4 linked regions of the Tamandua tetradactyla genome follow. The protein of the gene in region 1 interacts with the protein of each later gene in a pairwise test. Links are inferred from orthologs where the notes say so. Each region holds a gene or a part of one and is shown on either strand. Other genes may lie near its edges. The genes, in order: FATE1, BNIP3, LNPEP and NDUFB11.

Region 1 (7,307 bases):
CAGGTTTTGTTTGTTTGCTTTAGGATAACATAGTTTGTTGCCAGCACTTCAAGATAGTAAGAATTAATTTAACAACAACAGCTCCAAGCTGATACTACCTTTTATTGTGATCACCTGGAATAAGATAAGTCTAAATGTTTGTTAACAGTTATTTGCTTTTTTGCCTTTTTATTTTTAAAACTCTGTTTGAAATTTTATACATTGTAAAATGTAAGGCTTTTATATTAATTTGATTGAGAATAGGAAATTCTATGAACTGCAATATGTCCAAATTTCCCGCTGTCAATTGTTTCAAAAAAGTGCTTTTTAAGGCTCACTATTTATTTGGCCCTTGCATGCTGCAGTTGTCTCAGAGGCACTGGCAGTTCCATTAATAGTTCTGTTTTATAATAAATCAAATTAATAAATCAAATAATAGTCTTAATTTTTAAATTCAATATAATGTCTGTGGGTTTTAAGGACACTTCTCTAGTTCTAATAGCTAAATTTAATTAATCGAGTGGTTATATCCTCCTGCGGTCTCAAGGGCAGGGGTGGCTTCCTGGAGTCCGATCTGCTGGAAGAACTTGATTTGGTTCCAGCCTTTGGACATAGGAAGTAAATCCAGTATTTCTGGTTTATATGCATTCCCAGCAGTCTCTGACCTGGGGGCTCTTTCTCTCTTTTTGCGTTCGGGGATGGGATCATTTAAGCATTTATTGTAACCTAACCCCTAGAAAAGTCAGGTCTCCCTCCTCCCCAACCTCAATGTCTTCTCCCAGTATTCTTTGCCACTATAAAATAGTCATTTTTCCTAGAACATTCCGTCACCCACATTAATGTAACTTAAAATACTGGCTACAGAACATAGGACTCACATGGTTCCCAGGACAGTGTGTTCATCCTCTAACCTGGCTATCTTTTCCCAGTAGGTTTTGCTGCAGTATAGCACAATTTTTCTGAAACATTTCCCCATCCACATTGAACAAAGCTTAAAGGATTGGCTACAGACAAAAGACAGTACTCACGTGATTCCCTAGAACAGTCACGTCTCAGTCCTCTTCTAAAATGGTTGCCCTTTCCCAGTATCCTTTGCAACAGTGTAACTGCCATTTTTTTCTAGAACATTCCTTCACTCACTTTCAGTGTAGCTAAAGGATTGGCTACAGAATAGTTACTCACGTGATTGGATTTCGTAACAGCCAGGAAGCCTAGAAGCCTCACTCACCTCGGCTTACAACTTACCCCCACCCCACATACATTTGTTTTGTTTTTGTTTTTAATCAAGGAAAGTGTCGTTTCACACACAGTACAGCTTTTACAGAATAGCATTTATATGTACTCTCCAAGCAATGAGTGCTTCAGACATTTTGAACTTCTAGGGTTGGATTCCCTGCCTGCCAAAGGACAGTTCTAAATCTTTCAAGGGTTCCCCTGCCCTCAGGTTCCTGCCTGGCACAAAGGAGCTTCTGCTGACCCCCAAGTCAACATCTGGACCTGCTGTACCTACCATGCTCAGACTGGAGACCTATAGCCAAAATTCCCATCCTTAACCCAGCCACCAAGTATCAAGTACCCCACATACAACCATTTTCTTGGGGCGGATGTCAGTCATATTCCAAACTGGTGGGGCTAGAACACAGCTGACAGTCTTGAGTTCCAAATTCTGTCGCCGCTGGTAGACTCCTAGGGACCAATATCCCTGCTCTGTCATTTCTAGAAGAAGAAGAGAGGTCCCAAGATAGAGGTTGTACCAAGGTTTTCTAGGTATAGGAACACCATAAAGAAGACAGCCCCACAAATTTCTTAGCAATCCACAGTACCCACTCACCCTTGCCCATTAGGCAGTCCCAGGCCTCAGTCTGTTCATCTGTTCAACAAGTCACCAAACATTTACTGAAGGCCAACCTCTGTACTAGGTACTGGGGAGAGAGCGATGACCACGAGATAAGGCCCCAGCAATCAAAAAACCCAACCAGCTATGTGTGTACTAAGCAGAGTGAAAGTGCAAAACAAAAATAACCAACCAGGCAATTTCACATAGAGAGATACACACTCCCAGAACAATAAAGGCAGGGTAACATGCAGTGAAGAAGGGGCTACTTGTAGAAAAGTAAGAAACAACATTGAAGCAGAGACCTTAAAGGGAAAAAGAACCTGGACATGGAAAACCTCCACTGAAGCTGTCCCCTCAGAGCACGTCCTGCCTCCCTTAACCCCTAGTTCTCAGGCAGGCACATGGCCTTTCTCTAACCTGGCTCAGCATTGCAAGAACATTCCCAGCAGAAGCAACAGCAAGTACAAAGGCTGCAAGAAAGGAACAAGCTTGAGGTGTTACAAGAAAATATAAATGCCCTGTGGAGTGGGGCCCTTCGTGTGCTATACACATTGTATGTTGCATGCATGCTGTGACAGGGAGAAGGTTGAAGGGACAACACTGATAGGGCCATGGAGACCATGGCACAGAGTTTGGAGTTTATGGTAAAGTCCAAGGGGAAGAACTGGGAGGGTTTGCAGAGAGAATCAGTCTGACTGATTTGATTAATTGACTTGAATATTTTGCAACAGACACAGTGAGAACTTGGACCAGAGGAGACAGAGGGTCCATGTCCACTGTTGTTTCTGCCCTCCACCCACATGGGATGCTCAGAAGCTCCGAGATAAGGGGAAAGCTGCAAATGCTTGTACACCAAGGCACAGACACATGCTCGTGCCCACACACACATACAGACATACACATACAGGTGCAGATGTGTGTCCACACAGCTGGCCATCTCACCCAAGGATGAGAGCATTTCAGGGGATCCTCACCTGCTGTTGTCAGGCACTCCTGACTTTGCCCTTGGCCTTGAGGGCTCACCTCCTTGGCCAAAGGCATTTCCATCTCCTCCTTGGTGTTAGTGGGCTCTCCTGCCATCAAAGCCACTTGTTCACTTGTAGGCTGTGGCCAGAGCTGCGCAGGGTGCGTGTCAGAAAGGAGGCACTTAGAAAACCACTCTTTGAGGGGTAGGAGCTCCAGGCAGATATATCTGGGCGGGCAGAAGGGTGGAGCCAAGAGACTCCCTCTCCACACTCAGGCCTTGGGCCCAGCACCTTCTGTTCTTGTTCTATCTTATTGACTGGGTCTGTGGCCTTCTCCCCTGCTACTCTGTAAGCAACTTAGGAGAAGAGATAACGCTCAAAACTTTGCCTGTGAGAACTGTTTGGGCTCAGGGGTCACCTGATCTGGCCCCATCTTGGGGCAGGTGGGGTCCACCCTCTATCATTTCTAGGGAGAGGCAAGGACTGGCATAGGGTCCCATAAATGGTGGCTGGCCAAAGCAGGGTTAGTCCCAAGCCTCTTGTGGCTTCTGTGAGGCCAGCTCTAGCTAAAGAGTCCAGGCTGCCCCCCAGCCCACCTCCACTGAAGCTGTCCTCCCAGAGCACGTGCTGCCTCCCTTAACCCCTAGTTCTCAGGCAGGCACATGGCCTTTCTCTAACCTGGCTCAGCATTGCAAGAACCATGAGAAAACTTCCTTCCAGCAAGCTCCCGGGACCACTCTAGAGAATAGCCACAGAGTCTCTAGGGAAGCTGTTGATGAAAAGAACTAAGCACAGCTGGGGCCAGGTGGGCGGAAGAGGAGGGAGGGGAGGAAGGAGGGAGGACGGGGGAAGGGAGAGGCTAGAGCTCACTTAGAGACCATTACATGATCTGGGGCTGGTTATACTTGTCCCTTGCCCCACGTGTCCAGCGCTGGGACTCAGCCCCCACCCAGCTGAACTGACGGGGACCCTGCCTCCATTCCTGGGGGCTCTCCAGGAGCCTTGCCCAACCCCATGCCAGCAGCTGCCATGAAACCCGAGCTTCCCGGAGGGCTTCCTTCTCTGCCACCCCAAAATCAAGCAGAGGCTGCAGAGAGCTGCTCAGTGGGTCCTGGGACACTAGGCAGCCATGGGTTTCTGACCTACCATGGTTGCCAGATTTCACCAAGAAAAATCCAGGATGCCAAGTTAAATTTGCATTTCAGATAAACAAAATTTTAGAAGCAGCATGCCCCATACATTATTTGGGAACTATTTATACTAAACAAAAAAAATTTGTTTATCTGAGGTTCAAATGTAACTGCATAGCTTGTATTTTATCTGGCTGCCTTAGGCCCTGCCCACCCTCAGCACAACCTCAAGATTTGACCTTGGGCAAATGTTTCACTTCTTTGGGCCTCAGTGCCCCCAGTGGGCAACGGGGTTAGAGGGCTGCCTGGTTGCGAGGGGCACTCTGAGTCAGCAGATGCTGGGCAGTACAGGCACTGGCTTGCTGCAGGGCCCTGAGCCACTGACCGAAGATCCTTCTGGCTGCCAACTGAGCTTCTAGGGAACAGGGAACCTGGGTCCAGATGCTCGCAGAGGCACTGCCCCCTGGTGGCAGGGGCACCCATCACTTAAGGCCAAAAACCTTGAGAAACCTATGGACCAGACTGGCCCAGACAGGACCAACTGGCAGGGACAAGAGCTGTCAGTTCCAGGGTCTGAGCTTGGTGAGGCCAGGATGGCTCAGCTCCCCTCTGCAGAGTGCCAAATTTAGACCCACAGAGGGCTGGAACAGGAAGGGCCCTTTGGGTAATGGCCCAACAGACAGGGATGCCAAATGCAGAGAGCACTACTCAGTCAGGTCTGCCGTGCAGGCACTGGCCAGACCAGGGCAGAGGCCCTGACCCCACTCCTCATGTTCCAGCCCACCCATCCCACATGGCATCATCTCTTTGATTCCCAGGTGTCCAAAGGCCTCATCACGGGCCCATGGGCAGCAAGGAGAGCAATTTCCAATCTTTGGCCTCCCCCAGAGGAGGTGGCAGGGAGTGCTTTCTAACTCTTCTGCTGCATTTTCTCAGAGTAAAAAGTCCCCTGGAGAACAGCTTCAGCTCCTCCCAAAGGCACACACACACACACACATACACACACACACCTTTTCTAGCCCACCAAGCTCCTCAGGAAATCGGCTTCACCCCTTGAAAATACCCGCTGCCTAAGGTTGCCAGAGTTAGCAAGTAAAAAATACAGGACAAGTTAAAGTTGATTTTTGTGTGAAAAAACAAATCATGTTTTAATGTAGGTATACCCCAAATTGAACTACTGCCCTGTATTTAATCTGGCAACCTTGGAGAGAAAGCAAGGACTATGTGACCCTGAGAAAGGAATTTAACCTCTGTGGGTCTCAGTTCTCATCACCCAAAAACCAGGGCAGGAGTACAGACATAGCCTGGCCCATAGAAGTTATTCCACAACCACTAAAATCCTCCTTATTTTAAAACAAATGAAGCAGAAGTCCTCAGAGGTAAAGTGACCCCTCTAGAGTCACGGGGTCTTTCTGCTCTCTTGCCCAAGCTCAGACCCTGGGAGTGCCCTCCAGGCACTAGGCAGCAGACGAAGACTTCCTTCTGTCGCCTTCCCTAATATCACTCTTGGCTCTCTTGGGGGTCCCCACAGCCAGTAAAATTACAAAGTAGATTGGAGGTGTTAGTCCCATAGTAATTTCTATCAGCCCCCTCCAACCATTCCAAATAAATGCACTACTCAGAGGAAAATGCTTTGCCCTGCTATGCAAAGTGCTTTAAGGAGCATTCCCAATCCCCCTTCCAACCAGATGGCTGCCTCTACGCTCTCCCCTCCTCTGGAGAAATGTCAGCAGTAATCAAGCCCCTCTAGGGACTCTGCTCCAGTTCACGTCCAGCAGACTTGTCTCCTCTCAGCCAAAAGCAGAGGGCAGCTGGCGCACTTCCCAGGGACACAGGCTTTCCCTTTTGAAGCAAAGAGTTGGGGAGACTTCATTCCCAACCATGGGCATCTCACCATCTCCACAGGCCTGCCTCACTTAGATTGACCACCAAGGATGGCTGGAAGGAAGAGAGAGAACTTGTCCCTTAACGTTTCTCTCAGACATGCCAATCTTTTCCCTCCAACATCACCAGTTCCTTCTGAAATTTCCCTAAACTCTCATCCAAAACATTTTGAAATTCCTCCACTCTCTGGTGTGGTAACTATGGGGCCCTGTGCAAGTGATGAGCCACAGAGACTGAAGACCCCAACGGAAGGTTCCAGAAGAGGTGCACAGGGGCCTGGTGCCTCGGGAGTCTCCCCATGTCTGAACAGATGTACAGACATTTCTCAGAGATATTTCAGATTCAGTTCCAGATCACTGCAATAAAGCAAGTCCCATGAGTAGTTTGGTTTCCCAGAGCATATAAAAGTTATGTTTACACTACACTGGAGCCTATTAAGCATGCAACAGCATTATGTCTAAAAGAACAATGTCCAGACCTTAATTCAAAAAGATTTCATTGCTAAAAAATTGCTGCCCATCATCTCAGCCTTCACCAAGTCATAATCTTTTGCTGCTGGAGAGTCTTGCCTCGATGTTGATGGCTGCTGATTGATTAGGGTGGTGGTTGCTGAAGGTTGGGGTGGCTGCAGCACTTTCTTAAAATAAGACAAAAATGAAATTTGCCACATCGATTGACTTTTCCTTTCACACAAGACTTCTCTGTAGCATACAATGCCATTTGATAGCATTTTGCTCACAGTAGAACTTCTTTCAAAACTGGAGTCAATCCTCTCAAACCCTCCCACTGCTTTGTCAACTAAGTTGATGTAATATTCTAAATCCTTTGCTGTCATTTCAATAATGTTCACAGCATCTTCACCAGGTGTAGATTCCATCTCAAGAAACCATTTTCTTTACTCATCCATGAGAAACCACTCTTCATCTACAAAAGTTTTATGATGAGGTTGCAGCAATTCAGTCACATCTTCAGGCTCCACTTCTAATTCTAGTTCTCGTGCTATTTCCACATCTGCAGTTACTTCCTCCACTGAAGTCTTGAGTCCCTCAAAGTCCTTCATGAAAGTTGGAATCCACTCTTTCCAAACTCATGTGAATGTTGATGCTTTGACCTCCACCCACGAATTACAAATGTTCTTAATGGCATCTAGAATGGTGAATCCATTCCAGAAGGTTTTCAATGCACTTTGCCCAGGTCCATCAGAGAAATCATTACCTAAGGCAGCCACAGCCCTGCAAAATGTATTTCTTAAATAATAATCCTTGAAACTTGAAATAACTCCCTGAGCTATGGGCTGCAGAACTGATGTTATGTTAGCAAGCATGAAAACAGCACTCATCTTGTTGTCCATCTCCATGAGAGCTCTTGGGTGACCAGGTGCATTGTCAATGAGCAGTCATATTTTGAAAGGATTCTTTTTTTTCTGAGCAGTGGGTCTCAACCGTTGGTTGAAAATACTCAGTAGGCCATATTATAAACAGATGTGCTGCCATCCAAGCTTTGTTGTTCCAT
Region 2 (7,428 bases), on another chromosome or scaffold:
AATTATACCTCAATAAAGCTGTTCTTAAAACTATGTCAGTTTAAGGGCACACAAAGCCTGAACCTGCCTCTGACTTTGGATATCTGAGCTGCTGCGTCTCCTGTTCTCTGTTCTCCGGTGAAACACTGTTGTTGTTTTGTCTTCCAGAATGCTAATAATGCTGGTTCACCCAGGACCCAACTCCAGCACTCCTCTATATTGTCGGCTTATTTCCTTGTATTTCCTTACTGTCATTTCAATCGGATTTTAAGAGCAAGACAGAACTAAAAGAATACGGTCCCTTGGAAACCATAAATCAGATAAACATTTGATATCCCGTATACATAAAGAAATTACACAGCTCAACAACAAAAGAATAAACAACTCAATTATAAAATGTGCAGAGCATATGAGTAGACACTTTTCTGAAGAGCAAATACAGATGGCTAAAAGCTCATGAAGAGCTGCTCACCTTCTCTAGCTATAAGGAAATGCAAATTAAAACTACTGAGATACCACCTCACACCTGTAGGAACAGCTGCCGTTAAACAAACAGGAAACTACAAATGTTGGAAAGGATGTGGAGAAGTTGGAACACTTATTCACTGCTGGTGGGAAGGTATAATGGTATAGCCACTGTGGAAGACATTTGGTGATTGCTCAAAAAATTAAATAATGAGTTGCCCTATGACCCAGCAATGCCAATACTCGGTATATACCCAGAAGAGCTGAAAGCAGTGACACAACAGACATTTGCACACCGATGTTCACAGCAGCATTATTCACAATTGCTAAGAGATGGAAACAATCCAACTGCCCGTCAACAGAGGAGTGGGTAAACAAAATGTGGTTTGTCATACAATGGAACATTATGCAGCCGTGAGACGAAATGAGGTCCTGGAGCTCATGACAGCGGATGACCTTGAGGACATGATGCTGAGTGAAGCCAGCCAGACACAGAAGGACAGGTTCTGTGTCATCTCCGTATTATGACCCTGGTAAAGTTGAGAATGTCGAGGCTCAGGTGAGCCACACGAGTTGCTCTGGATTATAGGGCAAGAAGTGATCAGCTCGGACAGAAGGTCACTGCAGCGTCCTCTGATATTTTGTGCACTGTGATCTGGGTGAAGCCCATGGGGACAGCTGGGGAGTGTGGTGCTCTCCTGCCCGCATTGCCCTCCCACGTCCCTTCTTCTCTCCCTCCTTTCCTCTCTCTTTCTGTCTCTTTTTCTCTCTCTTTTTTTCCCCTCCTCCCTTCCCTAAAAGTAAAAACAGATAAAAACAAACATCTAAGTCCCCATGCCATTCTCCCCACTGTAAAAAAAAAATATATATATGGCACCTCTACCATCTTCTTCCTTACTTAGGTTTCTATATATATTGATTTTCCCCTCCATTCATCCTTTAAACAATTTTTATTGTGAAAAATAGCAAACATATAAGAGTAGATGGAATCAAATGAGCCTCTATGTACTTATGACCCAGCTTCAACACCTCATGGCGTCTATACCTCAATCCTCCACCTGCCCTCTCTGCTATTTTGAGGCAAACCCCAGACATCATATTTCTTTACATAAATATTTCAACATGTAACTCTAAAAGTTAGTAACTCTTAAAAATACCTGACCTGTGTAAATATATCTCAATAAAAATTGCGTTTAAAAAAAAAACACCTGACCACTATACCCTTATCACACCTAAAAGTAATTAACAATAACACTAATTTTTTCAAATAGTTACTTTGTGCTCAAATTTCTCTTTCTCTCTCTCTCCCTCCCTCTCTTTCCCTCACCCCCACGCCAGCCAGTGTCAGGAAACAAATCCATCTCCTTTTTCCCCTTGCAATTTATTTGTTGAAGAAAATGAGTCATTTCTCCTATGCTTTCCCACAACCTGCATTTTGCTGACTGCAGCTCTAGGCCAGCACATAACATGCTCCTCTCTCGTCTGTGCTCTGAATTTGGCAGTTACCTCCAGAGGCTTGATTAGATACAGGTTTTTTGTTTGTTTTTTAATAAATTAAAGAAGTTGTAAGTATACAGAAAAACCATGCAAAACCAGGTTTAATTTTTTTGTGGGGGAAAACCAAACTATTTCACACGCTGTGTTAGGGCCTTCTATGGGGGGACAGAATTTCTGGTTGACTTTGTGTTATTAGCAGCTGTTTGTGATCGATGAGTGGATTCATTCATTCAGGAGGAGCAGCAAAACAGTGATGTTCTCATCCCCATATTCTCCCGTCATTTAGCTGGACCACTTCTGTAGCTAAGGGGTTGGGGGAAGCTTTCCCCTTTTCACTCGAAAGGCAAAGAAACCACCAGCCTGATGACATTTCCTGTCTCCTCTTTGAAGAGCGGCTGGTGTGGGCAGAGAATCCCAGGGCCCTTGGCCTCTCCCCGCTTGTCACCAGGGCACATGGACTCGCTCTGCCCAGCCTTCCTTGGTGTGGTAGTTAGGTTCAGGTGTCTACTTGGCCTGGTGAAGGTGCCTAGTTCTGTCGCTGTGGACATGAGCCAATGGCTTGTGGACCTCATCTGTTGCTGATTACGTCCACAGTCGCCTAGGAGGCCTGCCTGCTGCAATGAATGATGTTTGATTTAATTGGCTGGTGCTTAAATGAGAGACTCAACGTAGCACAGCCCAAGCAGCTCAGCATACCTCATCTCAGGGCAAGCAGCTCAGCCCAGGCCTTTGGAGATGCAGAAAGGAATCACCCCAGGGAAAGTTGTTGGAACCCAGAGGCCTGGAGAGAAGGCCAGCAGGGATCACCCTGTGCCTTTCCATGTAAGAAAGAACCTCAGTTGAAAGTTAGCTGCCTTTCCTCTGAAGAACTGCACATTTTTAATGAAATAAATCCCCCTTTATTAAAAGGCAATCCATCTCTAGTGTGTTGCATTCTGGTAGCTAGCAAACTAGAACACTTGGTCACTGTGCCTCTTGGGCCATGTGTCCTGCAGCTGCAGTTGGCACCTCTGCTGTGGCCACAGCTGCGTTCTGCTTTTGTTGGTCCATTTTTCTCTTCTGGAGCAGCAGTGAGGCTGTGTTTCAAGTCATCCTGGGGGGAGGGGGGGTTCCCGGGTGCAGACCTTCCTGATTGGCCTGGCACTCAGTCCCCAGACACGACCTCCTGCCCTCTCCTGGTGTTCCGCCTGCACTGCACGCCCCCTCCCCAGCCCACAGTGTGCCAGAGTCCGTCCCAATCTCCAGGAAGCCTGTGGCCAGAGGTCTCTGGCCCCAGACCAAGGCCAGCCAGGCCAAACACACCTCAGAGGACCAAGCAGGGGATTCTCCGAGCGCTGGCCGCTTCCTCCCCTGCTCTCCACCACCGGGGCCCGCCGGGCACCAGACAGAGCCAGGCCCCATTCTCGGGCTGCTGCACTGAAAGTCTGAAGATGTCCTAGGGTGTCAACCGCAATTTGAGGTGAAAGGTGAGAAAGGATGACGACTCCTGAGCGTGCGGGCAGCCTGTAAAGGAGCCTGGCTGGGGCACTGCCTTGGAGTGGACACAAGTGGCTCCCAGAGGGCAGGAAGAGGTGGAGGGGCGCAACGTCAGGGCCGCCAGTGGGACTTGGGCTCCCAGTTCCTGGCCAGGCTGAACCCCTCAGCCTCCCCAGTCCCCCAGTGGGTGAGGTTCCCCAGGCGGCATTCCCACACAGAGGAGCGAAGGTGCAGCCTTCCGGAAGGCGCCACATAGTTTGGGTCTCTAAGTGCACAGCAGCCACCTCCACCTGGAAGCCCTGCCGGGGTTCTATTGTGGGGGTAAGGGAGGAGAGCGGGACGCCCAGAGGCGCAGCCGCCCTGGAGCCGGTGGCCCTGCTTCCTGCTTGCCCAGACCTGTCTTTGAGTGTGTTCGGGTTCGGGTTCAGACCACATTAAACAGAAAAGGGTTTCCTCCTGAGAGCCGCAGCCAGCCGCGCGCCGCCGCCTCCAGGTCTGCATCGCCTGCGGAAGGAGGGCTGGGTTACCGCCCCGAGAGGGCCGCGAAGCTCCGCGGCAGCCGCGCCTCTCCAGTTTCCGTGACTGAGCAGCTGCTGGGCCTAGCGCACCTCAGTTTCCCCGGCCTCCATGCGCCCCAGACCCCCAGGCCCTCGGCCACGCAGCTCGCGGCACTAGGTTCCATCGCGGGCCGCACACAGGCCCCGCGGCCGCCCCGCCCCCGCCTAGACCGCGGCACCCGGGGAAGCCCGAGAAAGCCTCGCCCCGCCCCCTCCGCCCTCGCCCCGCCCCGCCCCCTCAGCCTCGCCCCGCCCCCTCCGCCCTCGGCCCCGCCCCCTCCGCCCTCGGCCCCGCCCCGCCCCCTCCGCCCTCGGCCCCGCCCCGCCCCCTCCGCCCTCGGGCCCCCCCGCCCCCCGCCCCCCGGCCGCGCCGCACGCGCCGCACGCGCCCCGCGACCCCGCGCACGCGCAAAGGTCCCGCCCGCGGCCAATGGGCGACGCCGTCGCGGAGCCCACGTCGCGCCCCGGCCCGGAGCGGTCAGTCGGGGCTCGGACGGCGGAGCTGGGCCTGCGCGCTGTCTCCTCTGCCCGCTCTGCCCGCGCTCTCCCCGAACCGCTCGGACGCGCCCCCGCCCCGCAGACCCCGCGGCCGCAATCTCCCTCCGGAGTCATGTCGCTGAGCGGGGCCCCCGCGCTGCAGGAGGAGAACCTGCAGGGTAAGGCCGGGCGCGGGTCGCGGAGCCGGGGGCGGCCGGGGGGCGGGCGCGGCCAGGGGAGGCCGGGGGCCCGGGGGAGGCCGAGGGCCCGGGGGCGGCCCGGGGGGCGGGGTGGCCGGGGGTCGGGGTGGCCGGGGGTGGCCGGGGGTCGGGGGCGGCCCGGGGGTTGGGGTGGCCAGGGGGTCGGGGTGGCCGGGAGAGGCCGAGGGCCCGGGGGCGGCCCGGGGGGTGGGGTGGCCGGGAGAGGCCGAGGGCCCGGGGGCGGCCCGGGGGGTGGGGTGGCCGGGAGAGGCCGAGGGCCCGGGGGCGGCCGGGGGTCGGGGTGGCCGGGGGTGGCCGGGGGTCGGGGGCGGCCCGGGGGTTGGGGTGGCCAGGGGGTCGGGGTGGCCGGGAGAGGCCGAGGGCCCGGGGGCGGCCCGGGGGGTGGGGTGGCCGGGAGAGGCCGAGGGCCCGGGGGCGGCCCGGGGGGTGGGGTGGCCGGGAGAGGCCGAGGGCCCGGGGGCGGCCGGGGGTCGGGGTGGCCGGGGGTGGCCGGGGGTCGGGGTGGCTGGGGGAGGCCGAGGGGGTTGAGGAAGCCGTGAAGGCAGGGGAGGCCTGGGGGCCTTGGGGAGGCCGAGGGTCGGGGCAGCAGTGGGGGCCGAGCCGGGGGCGGCCGCTGAGCAGCAGCGCTTCCCCCCGGGAGGAGGACCTGGGGGGGGGCTCGGCTGTTGGCAAGAGTTAAACTGTGCGCAGTTGAAGGGTTAACTTGCCCCTGGACTAAGGGGTCCTAAAGGGAAAGCCCCGGCACATGGTTTTTCGGGGCAGGGCAGAGGTGACGGGAAATCGGGGCGCAGTCCCATCTTGAGGAAGTCTGTGAAGGAGCAGTTGGCCGTGGATAAATTCACAGTTTATTGTTGCAGTGTTTTAGGAAGTAGCCTGGGCAGCGCTGTGGTCTGCTGCTCGTAGGGTTCGGGTGGGGTGGAGTGGGCTTGGCCTTCTCGGGGCGCCGATGAACCAGCCGAAGTCATTCCGATTCCGGAAGGGGTGCTGTGGTGAGAGGCGCCGTGTCAGCCTGTCGTCCCCAATTCCAAATGTGTAAAAGGCTATTTAAAAAGACACCTTCTTGTCGAAACCGCTGCAGTGTGGGCCTTCCCCGCCGGGGCTGGGCAGTGGGCAGCGTGAAGGAGGTGTCCCCCAAGAGTGCGCTGCCTGGGCAGAAGTGCCTCCCGCCAGGCCCACTGTCCGCGGAGCCCCTGGGCAGAGGCTGCGGGTGCCGGACACCGCCTACAGCTGGCCCGCCTGAATTATTCCTTGTAGCAGCTTAAACCTCACGTCGCAGTAGAACCTTTCGAGTTTTCTTGCATTTTCTGTGGTTTGGCCAGTATTGATTTCAGCAAACAAATACTGCAAATTGAATTTTATGGTTTTTAGTTTTTAACGATTAACATTTGTATCTTAGCGACCATCTTTTTTTTCCTAAAAGAGGAAGGAAGGAAAGGGGGAAGGGTGTTTACCAATATTATATAGTGCTCCTTTTTTTCAGGAAATGAACATTTGAAAAATGATACAGGCATGCAGTCAGTTTTATTTTTAAGGTTGGTGTTCCATTTCTCCTGGAGGGTCATCGTGAAAACAGTGTAAAAGTTGACTTAGGGGTCAGAAAAGTACAAGAAGAAGGACGCTGTTCTGCCCCAGCTCCTTGGCGTTTCAGAGGCGGCAGGAGCCCCAGCCCTGGAGCCTGGCCCTGTGCGCCCAGGGCACCCCTCCCCCCCAGCAGGAAACCAGGGCTCCCCGCAGCTAAGGGGGGCCTAGGCTCAGCCCCCCTGGGTGGGTCTGCCCGCACAGGAATGCCTGGCACACCTGGCTTTTTCCTTTGGCCTCACTGACACAGCCCGGGCCCAGGGGGTGGGTAAGGAGCCTGGCCACTGCTGACTTTTGTCCTCTCTGAAGCAAGAGTTCGCCAAGCAAAGTGAGCGTGTAAATAAGCTCTGGAGAGGACTGTTGAGCCCTTTGAGAGTGCATTTGCAGCCTTCACTAAGGTGGTTGAAGTCCTTGGACTCTTCGGCTGTATTAGAAAGCTGCCTGTTGTTAAATTGTTTTTCAAGGTAAGATTTAGTTAGCCTAAACTAAATCTTTTTTATTGTATTGTATATGTACTTAAAAGCTACAACCACATATTTTAAACTCCTGTAGTTCGGGTCTTTTTTAGCATGGACTCATTCCCCCATTTGAAATAGATTAAGGGAGGTTTTTCTTTCTTTTTGTCATGGAGTAAGATCCATGGAATGTTTTATAAGTCCTTTGCCTTAAAATCACCCTTTTTCTAATGAACACACTCCTTTATTTCCAGTACTGCTTATTTTACCTCTTGGTTCAGACATTAAGCCTCAAGTTGAGGGTCTTTGGAGCAGAGTTTGGGGTCCTCTGGAGGGGAGCCCATCAGCTCCTCCCTCCTTGGTTTAGAACCCAAATTGCTGAGTCACTGGCCACACAAGACTGCCAGCTCAGGAATTGAAAGGTTTTTGTTTTTCTGTTTTGCTTCTTCTATAAAAAGATGGTTACCCGCAGAGTGGAAACTCGCATTGAGGATTCCCTGGGCCGCCCTCTGACTGTACGTGCAGCGGAGCACGCTCCCTGCCCAGCCCCGCCGGGAGCTGCCACTCCGGTCACATGGGACCGCCCAGCTGCCCCGAGACTGTGAATCTGCACTTGGCTTGCACAGCTCCGCTCTGAGTTGATTCTCCCTTGTTTACCTCTGAATGGAGGCCCGAGGAGGCCCTGGTAGCCGGAGCCCGTGGGAAGGGCAGCAGGCTGTGTGA
Region 3 (7,036 bases), on another chromosome or scaffold:
GGATTAGAAATCCAATTTCCTACATAGAAGCTGAAGCATTGCTTCCTTTTCTTACCACCCCCCCACCCTGGGATTTTTCCATTGCCCTCCCATATGTGACAATTTTGCAAATATTCACATCTAGAACAGCGTATTCTATGAAAAGAAAACAGGCCCAAATTTTAAGACTTGAGAATGTACTTCAATTCTGTAGAGGCAGGTTCATCAAACGAGCAACTAATAATCTTGAGCAAATGGGTGATGCAGCCATGCTACAGAGATTTTTTCTTTTTTTATTTAGGTGAAACTGTACATTTAAAATCCTACCAACATGGAAGCTACAAGCATTCTATCTAGAACAAACAAGAAATCTATGGAAGAATAAGCACTGGAATATTCAAGCGCAATATTATAATATATATTATAATACTAAAGTGCTAGATGGTCTCTAAGGCTCCAATCAGCTCAAATCTTCCTTGATTCTCTGGATAACTTTACCAGACTACTCTTAGAGCCTTAGTAATTACAAATAGAATTGAAATGAGAAAGAAAATTCAGAATTAAAGTTGTCATTATTAAACCTAATTAATCAGCTCAGACAGAAAGATGGCAGCAGAATAAAGCATTCTGAATTAGGGACAGAGTAGTTATAACGACCCCATGAACGAAGCACAGCATACAACAAAGTCTGGCTGAGGTTTGGGATAGAGTGGACAATGTCTGTCTTTTGACTGGTAACTGACAATTCAAACAGGGATGAGACCGGCCTCGATACTGCTATAGCCTAACTACCTGAAAGTAATGAACCACACATCAACTGGGAAGTGAATCTACTTAATTTTAGCGTGAATTCTCCCTTGACAGTTTTCCTACTTTGTATCCTTAAAAGGCATCCTATACTCAACGCCGCACAATGGTAAGACATCTCACCCATATATTGTGACTCTAGCACTCCTGGTGCAAACAAAAGCCATCGTTTTAATTAGAGATGGGACTCCATTCAGTAAAGCGCCGTGGCAGTTTGCAGGGCATCGTGCAGGCTCCTGCTTTGACTCTCGCCTCAACCCAAATTGTGATATCATCGTGACGGACTCTTGATATTTAACGAGTCTTTGACTGAAAAGCTGATTATCAGGAAGGCAGGAAGCCGAACGCTCTGCAGAGCGCCTCAGCAACAGACAGGAAAGTGGCAATGCGGATAGGCATCTCTCTTCGGCAGAGGGTGAGCAAGGCTTCCCGCAAGTTTCCCCTCCTTCCACTCATTGGTCTGCCAAGGCCCCCACCCCCCCACCGCCCTATTAGGAAAAGTCACGCCGGCAACTCTCTGAAGGACAAGGGGACAGAGCCCGGCGTGCCACAGAAGTTGGGTTTGGCAGGCGCCACGGTTTAACCCTACCATCCCGAAAGCAGGGGCAGACAACTTTCCCGCTGTCCCCTCCTCTGCGCACAACAGCCCAAACTTTGTTGTGCGTCCGTCCGCCCCGCCGCACAGCGGAGCTCTGGGTCCCGGCCACCCCCAGCCACCTCCCACCCGGGGCAGCCCCCCGGCCCCGCGCTGGCCGCTGCCGCCCCCAGCTTCCTACCACCTCCCCTAAACCCAGGCAAGACACCCGCGATGGGGGCAACTGAAACCCGTCCCCGCGTGTCACGGCTGCCGGCAACCCAGAGAGCTTGTGAGAGCCTGACCCCGGCGCCTCGGGCCTCCCACACTCACCATTGGTAAAAGGTTCCATTTTACCCCGCCGCGGCTCCTTGCAGCCGGAGCGCCTAAGACTCCTACTCCGCCAGCTGAAGCGGCCCTGCCGACTGAGCATGCCCAGCGCGGCCGCCGAGGGCTGCCAGGGAGGTGCCGCGAGGGGTGGCGCCGCTCCGCTGCTTCGAGGCTCCGGGTTTTTGCGGTGGCTGCAGGAGGAGGGAGGGAGGCTTGAGGGCAAAGCGAGGCTCAGGCTCAGCCCTCGGGGGACCGGGGGAAAGAAGGCGGAAGTAGAAAGTTAGGCCTAGGGGCCACAAGCCCCGCCCCTCGCCCGAAGAGGCCGCGGCTCTGTTGCTCTCCAAGGCCGAGAACTGCAGCCTGTGGTTCACCAAATGTCAGTGGGCTCCCTGGGCCCGGACCCCGTTCTAGGCTGCGGGAACACCATACTGCGCCTGGAAAAGTCCCTGCTCCGTGGAACGTACATTCCAGAGCAGACAAAAAACAAACACGGAAGACACATGGAGTAAATGTACCGCAAAACATTAAATCGGGGTGGTGGGATGCAGAGTGAGTGGGTGGCTAATTCGAATGGCGTCGGGAGGACAGGACTTGCTGAGCCGGTGCCTCTGAACCAGAGGTTTGAAGACAGAGTAGGAGCCTGCGGGCGAAGGTCGCACTCCGGACCGCGAAGCATCGGTTTCCCTGTGAAGCTGGTCTCCGAGGAGCTCAGTTCGCCAAGGCCCGAGGGAAAGGGCGCCGCAGCTCTCCTCAGCACAGTGGCCCCAAGCGGTCGGTCGCCTGGAGTCCAACGGGAGGGAAGGGAGCCCCGAAGGGCCCAGTGGGCCTAGAGTCGGGTCCTAGGGTTAGCGGCTTCGGGTGCGGCCTCTCGATGCGGGCGGATCACAAAACCCGGCGCCGGATCTCCAGGCCCCGGGCCGCGTGCGCCACAGGATGTGGGCAGAAGGACGGCGGGACCCGAGCCTCGAATCAACACCTGCGGCTCTTGGGTGAGCTGAGGTTGAGGCCGCGCCTTGCTAGGCCCAAGGAGCCGAAACTCCCCTAGTCGCCTCCCCACCCCTCACCCCCACCTCCAGCCCTAGCGCCATGGTGTCCAGCCCCGAGCCACCATTGTTTCCGATGTCGATTCCGGGCACTCCTGGCGAGACTCGGGAACATCTTGAGGCCCCGTTGACCCCTGGGAGGCCCGTGGGGGGCCCCGCTTCTTCCGCCTCCCTTCCTCGCTGTGCGCAGGGCCGCCGTCGCCTCCTCTCCTTGCCCCCTCCCGCAGCCCTGGCCCCTGCAGCGACTTGGCTCGGGCTGCCCCTCGCTGCGCCTGCCAACTGTCACATGCTCCTCCGAGGCTGTCAACAGGGGAGCGTCGGGTGCAAACCAGCCCGCGGCGAGCGCAAACAGCCTGAGAAAACAGAGGTGGCCGGGGTGTCGTTCAATTCGTACAGGAATTAGAAGTTAAATTTTAAAGAAGTAAAATCAAAGTGCGTGGCCATTTGGGATACTGTATTTTAAAATACGAAATGAATATCACCCATCTCCCAATCCCTCTTCAAAAACCTCCAGTGGGCATCAGTTACGCTTAGAATAAGATCGTAACCCCTCATATGCGTCAGGGACCTCGTCTTCTACCCTTGCAGTGCTTTGGCCACAGATGCCTTCATGCCGTTTCCGAAATCTCAAAAAGTTTTATCCAGTAACGTTAGTCATTGCTTTTACCTGTTTCTGTGCAGGAACTGTTCCTTCTGCCTGGTACTTTGCCTGCTGATTCCTTCTTGTCATTTAGGTCTCAACTCAAATGTCACCTCTGTAGAGAGCCTTTCCTGACCACACAATCTAAAATAGCCACAGACAAAATTTGTCTATGTATAGATTTGTCCTGTTTTGTTTTCTTCGCAACTGTCTTCTTCATCACTATCTAAAACAATGCTTTTTGTTTACCGTTTAATTATTGTCTATTTTCCCCTGAAGAATACAAGCTCCAGGAAGGCAGGGTTATTTTACCTTTTCTACAGCTGTTTCTGGTGCCTGGATAAATATGTAATAAACAATTTTTGGATTAATAAGTGAATGAATGCAATGGTATTTAAAGTTCTGGTTCGCTCTTACTGACCAAAACCCTTCCGGAGAATGCGTATTTCTGATCAGTACAGAGAAGTTTTCTGTATGAAAACTCAAGGCTGCTTTCTTGCCACTGCCCCACAGCCTTAGGCTGGCCTGGTGTAGGGAACTTCAGAGCCAAAAATAGGATAGGTTCCTAAGTATTCCCATATTATATGGAAAATTCAGAAAAGGGTTTTATTAAAATGATCTCATAACAAAACACTGTATTGTTTAGATAAGAAACTCTTCCTTAAATTTTAGGTCATGTTCCTTTGAGGTTATTTTTGCAGTCAAAGCACTTAGTATCAGAGATATTTAAAACTCAACAGCTCCTTGAATTACCTCACCTGTAAAGCTATGGTCTATCATGCTTTTATGTGTGAAACACGTTATCTGGTATTTTGTCTGAAGTGTCTTAATTCTGCAGAGACTTGTGGTAAAAATGTTTCACCATCGCACTAGCAAATATAAGTGAATCAAAATGTCTTTCCTAAACAGGCAAGTAATTTCGTTATCCTCTCTTTGCCAATCTCGTCTGCCACACTCCTTGCCCCCAGCCCCACACCCACCCCATCACCACCACAAAGATATTAAGGGGGCATTTAAAGACTTGCAATTCTGTATTGGAGGTTAATTTTTTTTTTAAGTAGCAAAACCAAAATCTGTTCAGAATCCTATCTCCCTCAAAAGAACAATAATAAATTTGTTTTATTCAGTGTTTTCTTGGATGCCATTTTATACTTGACTTAATAAAACTTGTGGCAACATAATTTCAGAAATTTAATATTGAAACCCATTTATGTTTCTTTCTTTGACCTCCTCTCATCCTCCCACACAGAACTTCCTCTTTAAGTTTCTAACACTTTCAGTTACCATGGAAGTTACTATTCATTATCAGAAGAGGTCTGATAATGAATATACCCATGTACTATTTTCAGAATCATTAAACATTTAAAAAACAGAAATTTAGAGGGCTAATAGTAATTGAATGAAAGAAAAAAAATGAGTGCTGTAAATAACCAACAGTGTTATAAAGAACAATAAGCATGCTGGTTAATGAATGTAGGGACATTTTTATCAAAATAAAGTAATTGGTCTGCTCTAGGTCAGATAATCCAAACGTCACATCTGACAGAGAAGGGAATTGAATTCTAGAAAGGTTAGATGATTTACCCTTAATCCAGTCAGGTTGTCTGTGTTCTAAACCAGTGCTCCAGAGTTTGCCATTGCCTCCCTATTCCTGTGAAGAAATTAGGGTCAATGAAAACAATCCACAAAATCAAAGAGGTAAAGAGGAAAACAGCTGACCTACAGGCTACAAGAAGGATATTCCATATCAACTTTGAGTTTAGCATTATTAAATATTTTTTCTAATTTTTCTGAAATAAGCAATATGTCAATTCAGTGCCTATATTTGAAAATGATAGTGTTTGTTCAGCACTCTTTAATAAATAGAGGAAGCGTCTTGCTGCCAGAACCAGCATGACCACAGTGAAGTTTCCAGCCACCCCCAGGCCTTACCCAGCCACCCCCAAAACCAAAGGAATCAATCAATATCTCATTACCCCTGCCACCCATTCACAGATACATACTCAGAATTTATAATTGATGTTGGAAGTTAAACCAAATTAAGAATTGTTTACAGCACTAAGGAAGGGAGAATAATTTTCCAAAAGAATTCTTGTACACTTAGCCATAAGAGAAAGATCCAGCTGAGTAGAGAGAAAAGTCATTACATAGGAAGTGTCATGGTCAGGTTCATGTGTCAACTTGGCCAAGTGGTGGTACCTGTTTGTCTGGTTGGGCAAGCGCTGGCCTGTCTATTGCAATGAGGACATTTCATAGAATTAAATCATGATCACATTAGCTGCACCCACAGCTGATTCCATTTGTAATCAGCCAAGGGGCGTGTCTTCTGCAATGAGTGATGCTTAATCTAATCACTGGAAGCCTTTTAAAGAGGATTCAGAAGAGACAGGCTCTTTTTCCTGCTTGGCTGGCAAGCCTCTCCTGTGGAGTTCATCCAGACCCTCCATCAGAATCGTCGGCTTCAAAGCCTGCCCTGCGGATTTTTGACTCTGCATTCCCGCGGTTATGTGAGACAGTTTTATAAATTTTATATTTGCAAGTGTTTCCTGTTGATTCTGTTTCTCTAGAGAACCCTAACTAATACAGGAAGGAACATTTATGTACTCCTTCAGATGTTTTGGAGTACAAAAACCAAAACCCCATATCAAACTAGTTTACATAATAAGGAAAATTTTTTTTCTCTCTCTTTTTTTTTAACTGTTTTATTAGCCTTGCCTAAACAGGGCCTCAAAAAATTGGTTTAAGACTCAGAGGTGCTTCTCTCCACGGAAATCTTTAGTAAAAAGCGAAAGATTTATACGATCTGAAGAGAAACCAGAGTATACATAATAAGGAAATTTATTATCTCCCATAACGTGCAGAGAAAAGACAATCTCCAGTTATAGTTCTACAATCTCAAGAACTCATCTTTTCACTCTCTCCACCCTGTGGCCTCAGTGTGAGTACTTTTCCAAGACACTGACTGCCATGCGGTCAAGAGGCGGCCGGGGAAGAAGAAGCAACTTTCTCTTTAGTGTCTCTTAAGAAGCGTAAAGAAACTTTCTCAAAAATACTCTTATTTGCCAAAGCTGTGTTTCATACATTTCTAAACCCACCACTGGAAATGAAAATGTGGATACTTCCAGACATGGTGGCTTGGAGTTACGTACCCAAGAAAAACATATTCTTAAACTTAATCCATTCTTATAAGTGCCAACCCATTGTAGATAGGACCTTTTGATGAGGTTACTTAAGTTGAGGTGGCCCAACTGGATCAGGATGAGTCTTAATCCTAATAGGTCCTTATAGTGAAGGCCACAAAGAGAGAAGCCATGGGGAGCAGCCAGAACCTGGAAGTCAACAGAACCCAGAAGAGAAAGACTCTCTACGCGCTTTGCAATGTGGCAGAAAAGCTAAGGCTGAGGGATGAATGGAAGCAGCCTCAGAATGCCACAGTCTTTGGGGAGAAACAAATGCCTTGCTTGATTTTGGGCTTCGTGTAGCTTCAAAACCAAGAGCCATAAATTCCCATTGTTTAAGCCAGCCCATTGTACGGTATTTGTTTTAGCAGCCCGGAAACTAGAAACACTGTGATTGGCTTCTCAGATAAAGCACAGTTCAGGAGTGCTGAATTTAGAATCACCTCCCTCATTTCATATGGGAGAAGAAGAGGTACTAGCACAG
Region 4 (7,684 bases), about 120 Mb from region 1:
TATAAAAACCAACCACTTTCCTCTATTCCCACAAATACCAGCTTGGAAAATACAATAAAATAAGATGTCAAGAAAGACTGCTAAAGTGTCTAGGAACTACCTTAACAAAGAATAGGCAAGACCTGTCTTTTCATCTACTCAGATTTTTATATCATTGAAACAAATTTTAAAATATTCTTTATATAGGTCTTGGATAAGATGATTACTTACAAAGATGATGATTCTCCCCAAATTAATTCTCCCCCAATTCAATGCAATCTCAATCAAAATTCTTATTGCATGTTCTTGAAGACCTTAAACTTTATATAGAGAAGAACAAAGTTCCACAAATGACTAAATCAACGTTAAAAAATAAGAGCAAAGAGGGATCTATTAAGACATTCTATAAAGCCATAATAAAAAAGTAAGATTTTGGCCCAAGAATACACAAATAGACCAACAGAACAAATCAGATCACTCAAGACAGATAAATGTACATAAGTGAACTTGAACTGGAGGAACCACAAAACAATAGAGAAAGAATGGACTGTTTTAGGAAATAGTACTGGGAAAACTGCTCATACTATGAAAGAAAATAAAACAGAACCTACCTTATATTCATTAGTGGACTGTAGATGAATTGAAGACCTAAGTGTGAAAGGTAAAGCTACAGAGTGAAAAGAATTTTGTGATCCAAGGTAAGAAAAGAGAATTATTCTGACAGCACAAATTATAAAGCAAAAAAAGTGATGAATTTTAGCATGAAATTAAGAATAGGTACACATTCTTGGAGGAATAATTAAATAAAATGCAGTATGCACACCCCATGATATCCTTGCCAACAATGAGAAGCAAAGCATATACACATGGCAACAGAGACAGTCTTAAAAATACAGTGTAATTAAATGTTTAGGAAACAGAATGAAGACTGTAGCACTATGCCATTTGTGTAAAGTAACTATCACTACATATTTTATCAAATAAGACAGCAGTTGCCTACAAATAGGAAATGGGTATGTAAAAGGAAAAAACACATGGCAAGAGGGGGTCTTGTTCTGACCTATGAAGTAGACCTATCTTGAACAGGAAGGTATGAGTAACTCAAACCTCTGCACTCAAGGTCCTTCAAAGCCAAAAGAAAGCCAGCGGCTTTAACTGGTAAGGTCTGAATCAAGTATGTCACCTACTCAAACTCAGAAACTGCTATAGAACATTTCCAGTGAATACAGTCCAAAATCAAATGCTTTTGAAGAAGGTCAAGACTGAATAACACTGGATGATGACCACATCTCAAATTCAGTTTCACGTCTGAAAAAACAAAATATTTTAATCTTACATTTTTAAAAGGGGCAGTAGTGAAAAACTAAGACATTACATATTATTTTTTCTCCCTGAGTTTTTATAAAACCTCTGACTGGGAGAGTTAGGTTTCTTCTTTCCTATGCAATCTTAAAATGTCATGGATAGATCACCTGAAACAGAATCACCTGGGGGCGATCTACCAGGATGATGAGGAAATAGCCCAGTTCTCAGTATTTTACCAAGTGACCCAACTATTTCTTGCTCATACCAGAGTTTAAAAATAACTGTAATGAGAGAGTCCATTCCAAGACAAGTATGACACCAACTTCTGCCCATTCCATCCCTGGAGTGTCCTACTATTTGACCTGGCCTTTCCCATATTTGACCTGGACAAATTCCTGACTCTGAAAGTCCCACCCCTACCCATCTTCCAAATCTCTCTCCTGACCCACAGGCACTTACAACCCAATACTCATCTGACCCCAACCTCTGCCTCTCTTCCTGCAGCAGCTGTCCTCAACTTAGTAAATGACACCACATACCTATCCAGGTCAACCAAATTGGAAATGTGGGATCAGCCTCAACTCCTACCTTTTTCTTGATCCCCTCCCAACCTCATATCCAACCATGGAATCCACTGTGTTTATTGTAATCACCTGCAAACTGTACCATCTCCCTTGTGAGACCCTGAGTAACACAGGGCTGAAACCTTATTTGTCTCATTTATCACTGCATTCCTAGAGCCTAGCACAGTTCCTGGCCCACAAAAGGTGTCAAATGTCTACTGAAAATAAATCAATCATCTGCTATTTCCTCTGTCTGCAAGGCCTTTCCTAGCATCTTCCTGAACCAATGCTCACTTGGGGACAAGCCTAAACTGCTTTGTAGGAGTGGGGGAGGATAACTTACCGTCTTTCATACTCCATATCCTGATAGGGCCTGCGGGGGCTGCTGGGGCCCCTCCTTAGCCGCTGGCTCCGTTTCACTTCCCAGCCACCCCCACTGCTGCCACCATGATCTGCCAGCCTGGGTGATTCCTCCTGTAGGGACTCTAGGGAGATGGGAGGAAAGAAAGGGGTCAAGGCAGCTGGGGCAGAAAAGGTCTCCTTGAGAAACTCTGGTTGTCCAGATATTTTGCTGTTCTTTAGCCTGGGACATTGTTTTCCAACTCCTAGTACTCCTGTAGACCAAAATGGGAATACAACTACTGCTTGGCCTCCTTCTTCCTTTCTCCACAAACACGTGGCTAGAGCCCTCTCCCTAGAAATAGCAAGACCGTCATCAGATAGGAGAGCATCTTGTAGAGAGAGCTGGAACACTCAGAGGGGCCACAGACCTCGGAGACTGGAGGGGTAGTGATGTCACCCACCCATCCAGTATTCAGGGATTTGCCACCTGAGACTTGTAGACAAGCTGCCTGCCCAGGGGAGCGCTTAGCGCTGAATGACCTGCCACAGAATAGACACTTTAAGTACAGAGGTGAGACTCCACAGCAAGGGGAGTCTCAGGCATCCACCAGGCTCCTTCTAGGCCCCCAGGAGCCATTTCGTCCTCCTAACAAGATTCTGCAAGGGGACAGGAAGGAGACCATGAAACATTCTTGGGTGAGGAGGGGGGTGGGGGCTAATTTGGCAACGAGATAGCTGCTGTCTCACTAGGCTCCTGGCCAGCTCAGCTTTGGCTCTCACAGGGCAATTGGGTCAAACTAATATTCAGCCAGGTCCCAAAGTGGCTCTCTCCCCAGGGTTTGGGCCCAAGTCTTCTCAGACGTAACAGGGGCCCTTTCAGAGGCTGTTTCAAACCACTGTGCTATTCTGCTAGGCCAGAGGAGCAGTCAGTCAACTCACTCAACCCTGAGGGTTGCGGAGCCATGTGACCCAGCCAAGGGTCATGATATATCCTGAATCTTCAGGCCCCACCCTGTGAACAGGAATCTGAGAAAAGCCTATCGGTTACAGCACCTGCCCAACACTAGGATGCCACCACACCTTTCCCCATGCATACACACACCAATTTTCTCTTCCTCCTCAAGCCACAGGGAACCAGAGTTACCTATCTCCAGATACCTAAAGATTAGAATCACAACCAGGGGTCCACTTGGATGAAACCCAGATACAGGCTCTGGCAAAGGAACCAGAGCCACAACAGATAGAGGCCAAAGTCACAGATACGAGCCCCAAATAACTACAGGCAGAAATCACAGATAGAGACCCGCAATAAATAAGGGCCATAATCACACACTGAGCTCCCTTTCAATGGATAAGTATCACAGTCACAGATAGAAACCTCTCAAAAGAAGGGGCAATAAACCACACATACACTCCCTACACTCAATAAGTGGGTTAGGGCCTAGACACTGCCCCCCCACCCCCTACCCCACATGAGTAAGGACCAGAGTCACAGACATACCCTAGGGATAAAGAGCGGAGTCGTACAAACTATGAGCCCCCGCCGGCTCACGAATAAGGACCAGAGCCACAAAACATGTCCCCACTGATAGACAGGTACCAGTCACATAGACCGAGCAGACAGCACATCCCCTCCCCTGTGGATAAAAACTAAAGTCGCAGACACCCGACTCTCCAGGGATAAAGCCCAGCGTCACTGACAGTAAGCCACAGTAACCCACTCCCATCCTTCCCTCCCTTCCCCCAACTCGCGTGCACCCATCCCCGTGGTCCCAATCGCGCACGCGCCTTTGGTCTCAAAGGGGAAAAAAAAAAAGTCACCCTCTCCCGGGTTCAGACTGTGCACTCATCCCTCAGTTCCGCGCACCCTCCAGGCCCCTGGCCCGCAGTCCTTCCTTGCGCTCCTCTACGCACCCCGTTTCCCAGCCCCTTACCTCCACCCTCAAGACCAGCGTCGACGCTCACCTTCTCGGTCCGGGCTGTCACGGGAGGGCTCCCAGACATCACCTCGGCCCGTCGCCACCGCATCCAACTCTCCCAGCTCAGCCGGAGCTGGTCAGCGTAACCACCAAGTCCGTGGCTGGAGGCAGAGGGGAGGAGGAGGGGAGAAAGGGGAAGGGAGAAGCGCCAGACGCGCTACCCTCCCCGGAAAACCCACTGCCACCTACTCCCAGTCGATCTCAAACAGCCACACAAAATGGCGACGACGAGAAGGGAACCGGTGCTTCGACCACCATCCACCTACTAAGGGAGCGCGCTCCGCCGGTCCTCGTCTATTGGTCGCCGCCCGCGGTCGGCCAACCCTGGCCTCCTCTGATTGGCAAGCGAATGCCACCTCCCCACTCCCGCGTGCGAACGCCCGCAAGTCGAGAAAAAGAGTGGCCATTGGTCAATCCCGCGAGGCCCGCTTCTTAGAAGCTTGGCTTCCTTTGAAGATGAAAGGCAAACGGAAGCCCCGCCCCTTCCCCAAACAGCAAGGGAACTCGCTGTGCGATTGGCTGTGAACCACCCAAATGACACCGCTTTTTTCCCATCAAGGAAGAGAGCAGACCTGTCAATAAGAAACTCCTCAGCCCGAAGGAGAGGATAAGAGAAGGGTTGGTCCCTCCAGGACATGACAGAGAGAGGGAAAGAGGGCCACGCAGCGCCCCGCCTCATTTGAAAAGAAAATCAGACCTGAGACTTATTTACTGCGGCGGCGGCGGAGCGACAAATATCGCGCACGCGCAAACTGCAGCTGCGCAGAATCGCATTGCCGTCCCCGCCCCTAAGTTACTACGGAGCAATCTATCATGGCGGTCGGGCAACTAGGTTTGTACGCTCGCCGCATTTTGGCTGCAGCTGCGACGCGGGGGCTCCCGGCTGCCCGTGTCCGTTGGGAATCCGGCTCTTCTCGGGCTGTAGTCGCTCCACCTGTCGTGGCGGAGAAGCGTACTCGGGAACCGACCATACGCTGGCAGGAGGACCCGGATCCCGAGGACGAAAACCTCTACGAGAAGGTGAGAGGGAGGGGGAACTAGGACGTCGAAAGGGTCAATCGGGAGCAGGCTGACGGAGCGCAGTAGAGGACGTTCTTAGTTGACCGAAGGTTGCGCAGCTGGCGAAATCCTCTATGAATTTTGCCTAGCTTGTTCGCCTAATTTGTCCCCTGAGAGTCTGGTCTAGGGCCAGATGCGGGATTGGCATTATTTTGCAGACAGAAATCAAACTTGAAGTGGGCAATTCTCAAACCACGTTAGAAGCAATATAGTATAACAACAATAATATTAAACACCAATATGGCGCTTATTCTGCCAGGCAGTGTTCTAAGGACTTTATATGCATTAGCTCATCTAAGAAGCAATAATGTTTTGAGATAGACACTATTATATACCCATTTTACAGATGCGAGAACAAGCGCAGGGATGTTAGATGCTTGTCTCAGCTAACATAACATAACTGAATACATGGTGGAAATAGGTATTTGAACCTAGGTCTACTGGTCTGCTGTCCTGTATTAATAACAGACTCTAAAGTCAAATGGCCTGGGTTCGGATCCAGACACTTAATAGTTACTCATTTGTGTGACCTTGGGCAAGTGGTTCAACCTCTTGTGCCTAAGTTTTCTTTGTAAAATGGGGAAGTAATAAAAACACTATCTAAAGAATAGAATACTATACCTGCCTCATGCAATTAAATTAACCAAAATGGTCAGAACAGCAGCTTGTACTTGGTAAGTACTCAGCTTTAGAAGCTGTAAATTATTATTGGCACTTTCTGCCTGTTGGGATATTGTGAGGTTTGCATATGTAAAAAGACCTGGCACATAATAGGTACCACATCAGAATTAATTTCTGGTTTACAGAGTTAGATTTGCAAAACGCTTATTCACTTTTTACTCATTGTAAATATGTAATGAGGGCCTGCTGTATGCCAGGCACAGTTCTGGGTCCTAGGGATACAGCAATGTGGAAATCAGACAAAGCCTGTACTTTCATAGAGCTTAAGTGATGTTGGGGGAAGACTTAAAAATAAACATGTAAACTATTGGATGACAATAATATAGAATAATATAATAGGTAATACAATAATGTGATACAGAGGATCTGGGCAGATGTTACTTTGGTAAATAATCTCAAATAATGGTAAATGAAAGTTAAGCAGCATAAGAAAGAAATGAAAAGAAAGTTAAGCAGCATAAGGGGATAGAGTGACATGGAGATTGGGAATTACCTTATTAGATTGAAACCACAGAAAATTACCAACGTTCAACCATTTTAAGTGGTAGTTTCATATGGTTCAATGTAGTCGATAAGGTGATTAATGAACACCTCCTAAAGGAATTGAGTGAGGAGAAGCCAGCCATGACTGGATCTGGGAGAAAAGCAGAGGGAACAGCAAGTGCAAAAGGCCTAGTGATGGGAAGAAACTTGGCATGTCCTAAAAATAGAAAGAGAGGAATACAGTGAGGGAGAGAATGTTGGTCCGAGGTGAGATTGGAAACCAGGTTATAAAGGGCCAGCATGAGGCTTCATGGAAAAGCAGGAAGCTCTCATTGATATCATCATCCTGCCACAGAACCCAGACTCCCATGGTTATGACACGGACCCTGTTGTGGACCTCTGGAACATGCGGGCCGTCTTCTTCTTTGGCTTTTCCATTGTCCTTGTCCTTGGCAGCACCTTTGTGGCTTACCTGCCTGACTACAGGTACATGGGAAGTCTGAGAGAGTGGGATGGGTGGGGGGGAGCAGAGGCAAGGGTCGGGGTTGAAGGGAACTCTGCCAGGAATCCTGTTCCTGCACTGTTGGGGAAAGGGGAGCTGAGATGGGGGATTGGATTGGTGTTTGGTGAGGCTCCCTCCTGTCTATTCCTGCTGCTGCCATCTCCAGGATGCGAGAGTGGGCCCGCCGGGAAGCGGAGAGGCTTGTAAAGTACCGCGAAGCTAATGGCCTCCCCCTCATGGAATCCAACTGCTTTGACCCCAGCAAGATCCAGCTGCCAGAGGATGAGCAGTAACCAGTTGCTGAGTGGGGCTCTGGAAGCACCTCCCTCTCCACTCCCCTCCCACCATCCTGCCATCTCCTCAGAGCACCTGATGATTAAAGGGACTGAAAGTCTGCCTGGCTAGCTGTTGATTTTGTCGAGGAGGGGAGGCTGGCAGGGGGCTGGTATCACAAGCCTTAAAAGGGCCACTTGCAGCCTTTTTTTGGTGTTCTGGCTATCTATTGCTGTGTAACAACCACCCTAAAACTTGTAGCTTAAAACAACACTTTATTATTCTCTCTCGTGTATTTATGGATTGGCAGGGCTCACCTAGATGGTTCTTCCTTGGGATCTCTCAGGTGGTTGCAGTCAGATGGTGGCTGGGGCTGGAGCCATCTGAAGGCTCAACTGGGCTGGATGTCCAAGACTTCTTTAGGCACATGACTGGCACTTGAGTCTTTTTCTGTATGGCCTTCCTCTCTAGCAGAAGGGCCTGGGCTTCTTACATGGTGGCTCAGGGCTCCCCTGGAT

Evidence for each region.
Region 2: the proteins of FATE1 (region 1) and BNIP3 interact in binary tests that used the Homo sapiens proteins (3 or more experiments, as listed by UniProt). The two-hybrid records come from large-scale screens. The link is inferred for Tamandua tetradactyla from reciprocal best matches to the Homo sapiens genes FATE1 and BNIP3.
Region 3: the proteins of FATE1 (region 1) and LNPEP interact in binary tests that used the Homo sapiens proteins (3 or more experiments, as listed by UniProt). The two-hybrid records come from large-scale screens. The link is inferred for Tamandua tetradactyla from reciprocal best matches to the Homo sapiens genes FATE1 and LNPEP.
Region 4: the proteins of FATE1 (region 1) and NDUFB11 interact in binary tests that used the Homo sapiens proteins (3 or more experiments, as listed by UniProt). The two-hybrid records come from large-scale screens. The link is inferred for Tamandua tetradactyla from reciprocal best matches to the Homo sapiens genes FATE1 and NDUFB11.

What each region holds. Positions count from the first base shown.
Region 1 is NC_135353.1:3,542,128-3,549,434, reverse strand, and holds the start of FATE1 (fetal and adult testis-expressed transcript protein), read right to left. Parts: upstream 3,003-7,307; 5' UTR 2,897-3,002; coding exon 2,791-2,896; intron 1,696-2,790; coding exon 1,565-1,695; intron 1-1,564. UniProt on the Homo sapiens protein: Involved in the regulation of endoplasmic reticulum (ER)-mitochondria coupling. Negatively regulates the ER-mitochondria distance and Ca(2+) transfer from ER to mitochondria possibly implicating it in the regulation of apoptosis.
Region 2 is NC_135339.1:94,575,848-94,583,275, reverse strand, and holds the start of BNIP3 (BCL2/adenovirus E1B 19 kDa protein-interacting protein 3), read left to right. Parts: upstream 1-4,409; 5' UTR 4,410-4,584; coding exon 4,585-4,630; intron 4,631-5,876; exon of another isoform or gene 5,877-7,428. UniProt on the Homo sapiens protein: Apoptosis-inducing protein that can overcome BCL2 suppression. May play a role in repartitioning calcium between the two major intracellular calcium stores in association with BCL2.
Region 3 is NC_135347.1:34,099,863-34,106,898, forward strand, and holds the start of LNPEP (leucyl-cystinyl aminopeptidase), read right to left. Parts: upstream 3,006-7,036; 5' UTR 1,794-3,005; coding exon 1,694-1,793; intron 1,215-1,693; exon of another isoform or gene 914-1,214; coding exon of another isoform or gene 910-913; intron 1-909. UniProt on the Homo sapiens protein: Release of an N-terminal amino acid, cleaves before cysteine, leucine as well as other amino acids. Degrades peptide hormones such as oxytocin, vasopressin and angiotensin III, and plays a role in maintaining homeostasis during pregnancy.
Region 4 is NC_135353.1:123,090,926-123,098,609, forward strand, and holds NDUFB11 (NADH dehydrogenase [ubiquinone] 1 beta subcomplex subunit 11, mitochondrial), read left to right. Parts: upstream 1-4,666; 5' UTR 4,667-4,981; coding exon 4,982-5,188; intron 5,189-6,746; coding exon 6,747-6,877; intron 6,878-7,059; coding exon 7,060-7,186; 3' UTR 7,187-7,287; downstream 7,288-7,684. Other genes in the region: RBM10 (RNA-binding protein 10), read right to left, coding at 2,191-2,332, 4,124-4,217. UniProt on the Homo sapiens protein: Accessory subunit of the mitochondrial membrane respiratory chain NADH dehydrogenase (Complex I), that is believed not to be involved in catalysis. Complex I functions in the transfer of electrons from NADH to the respiratory chain.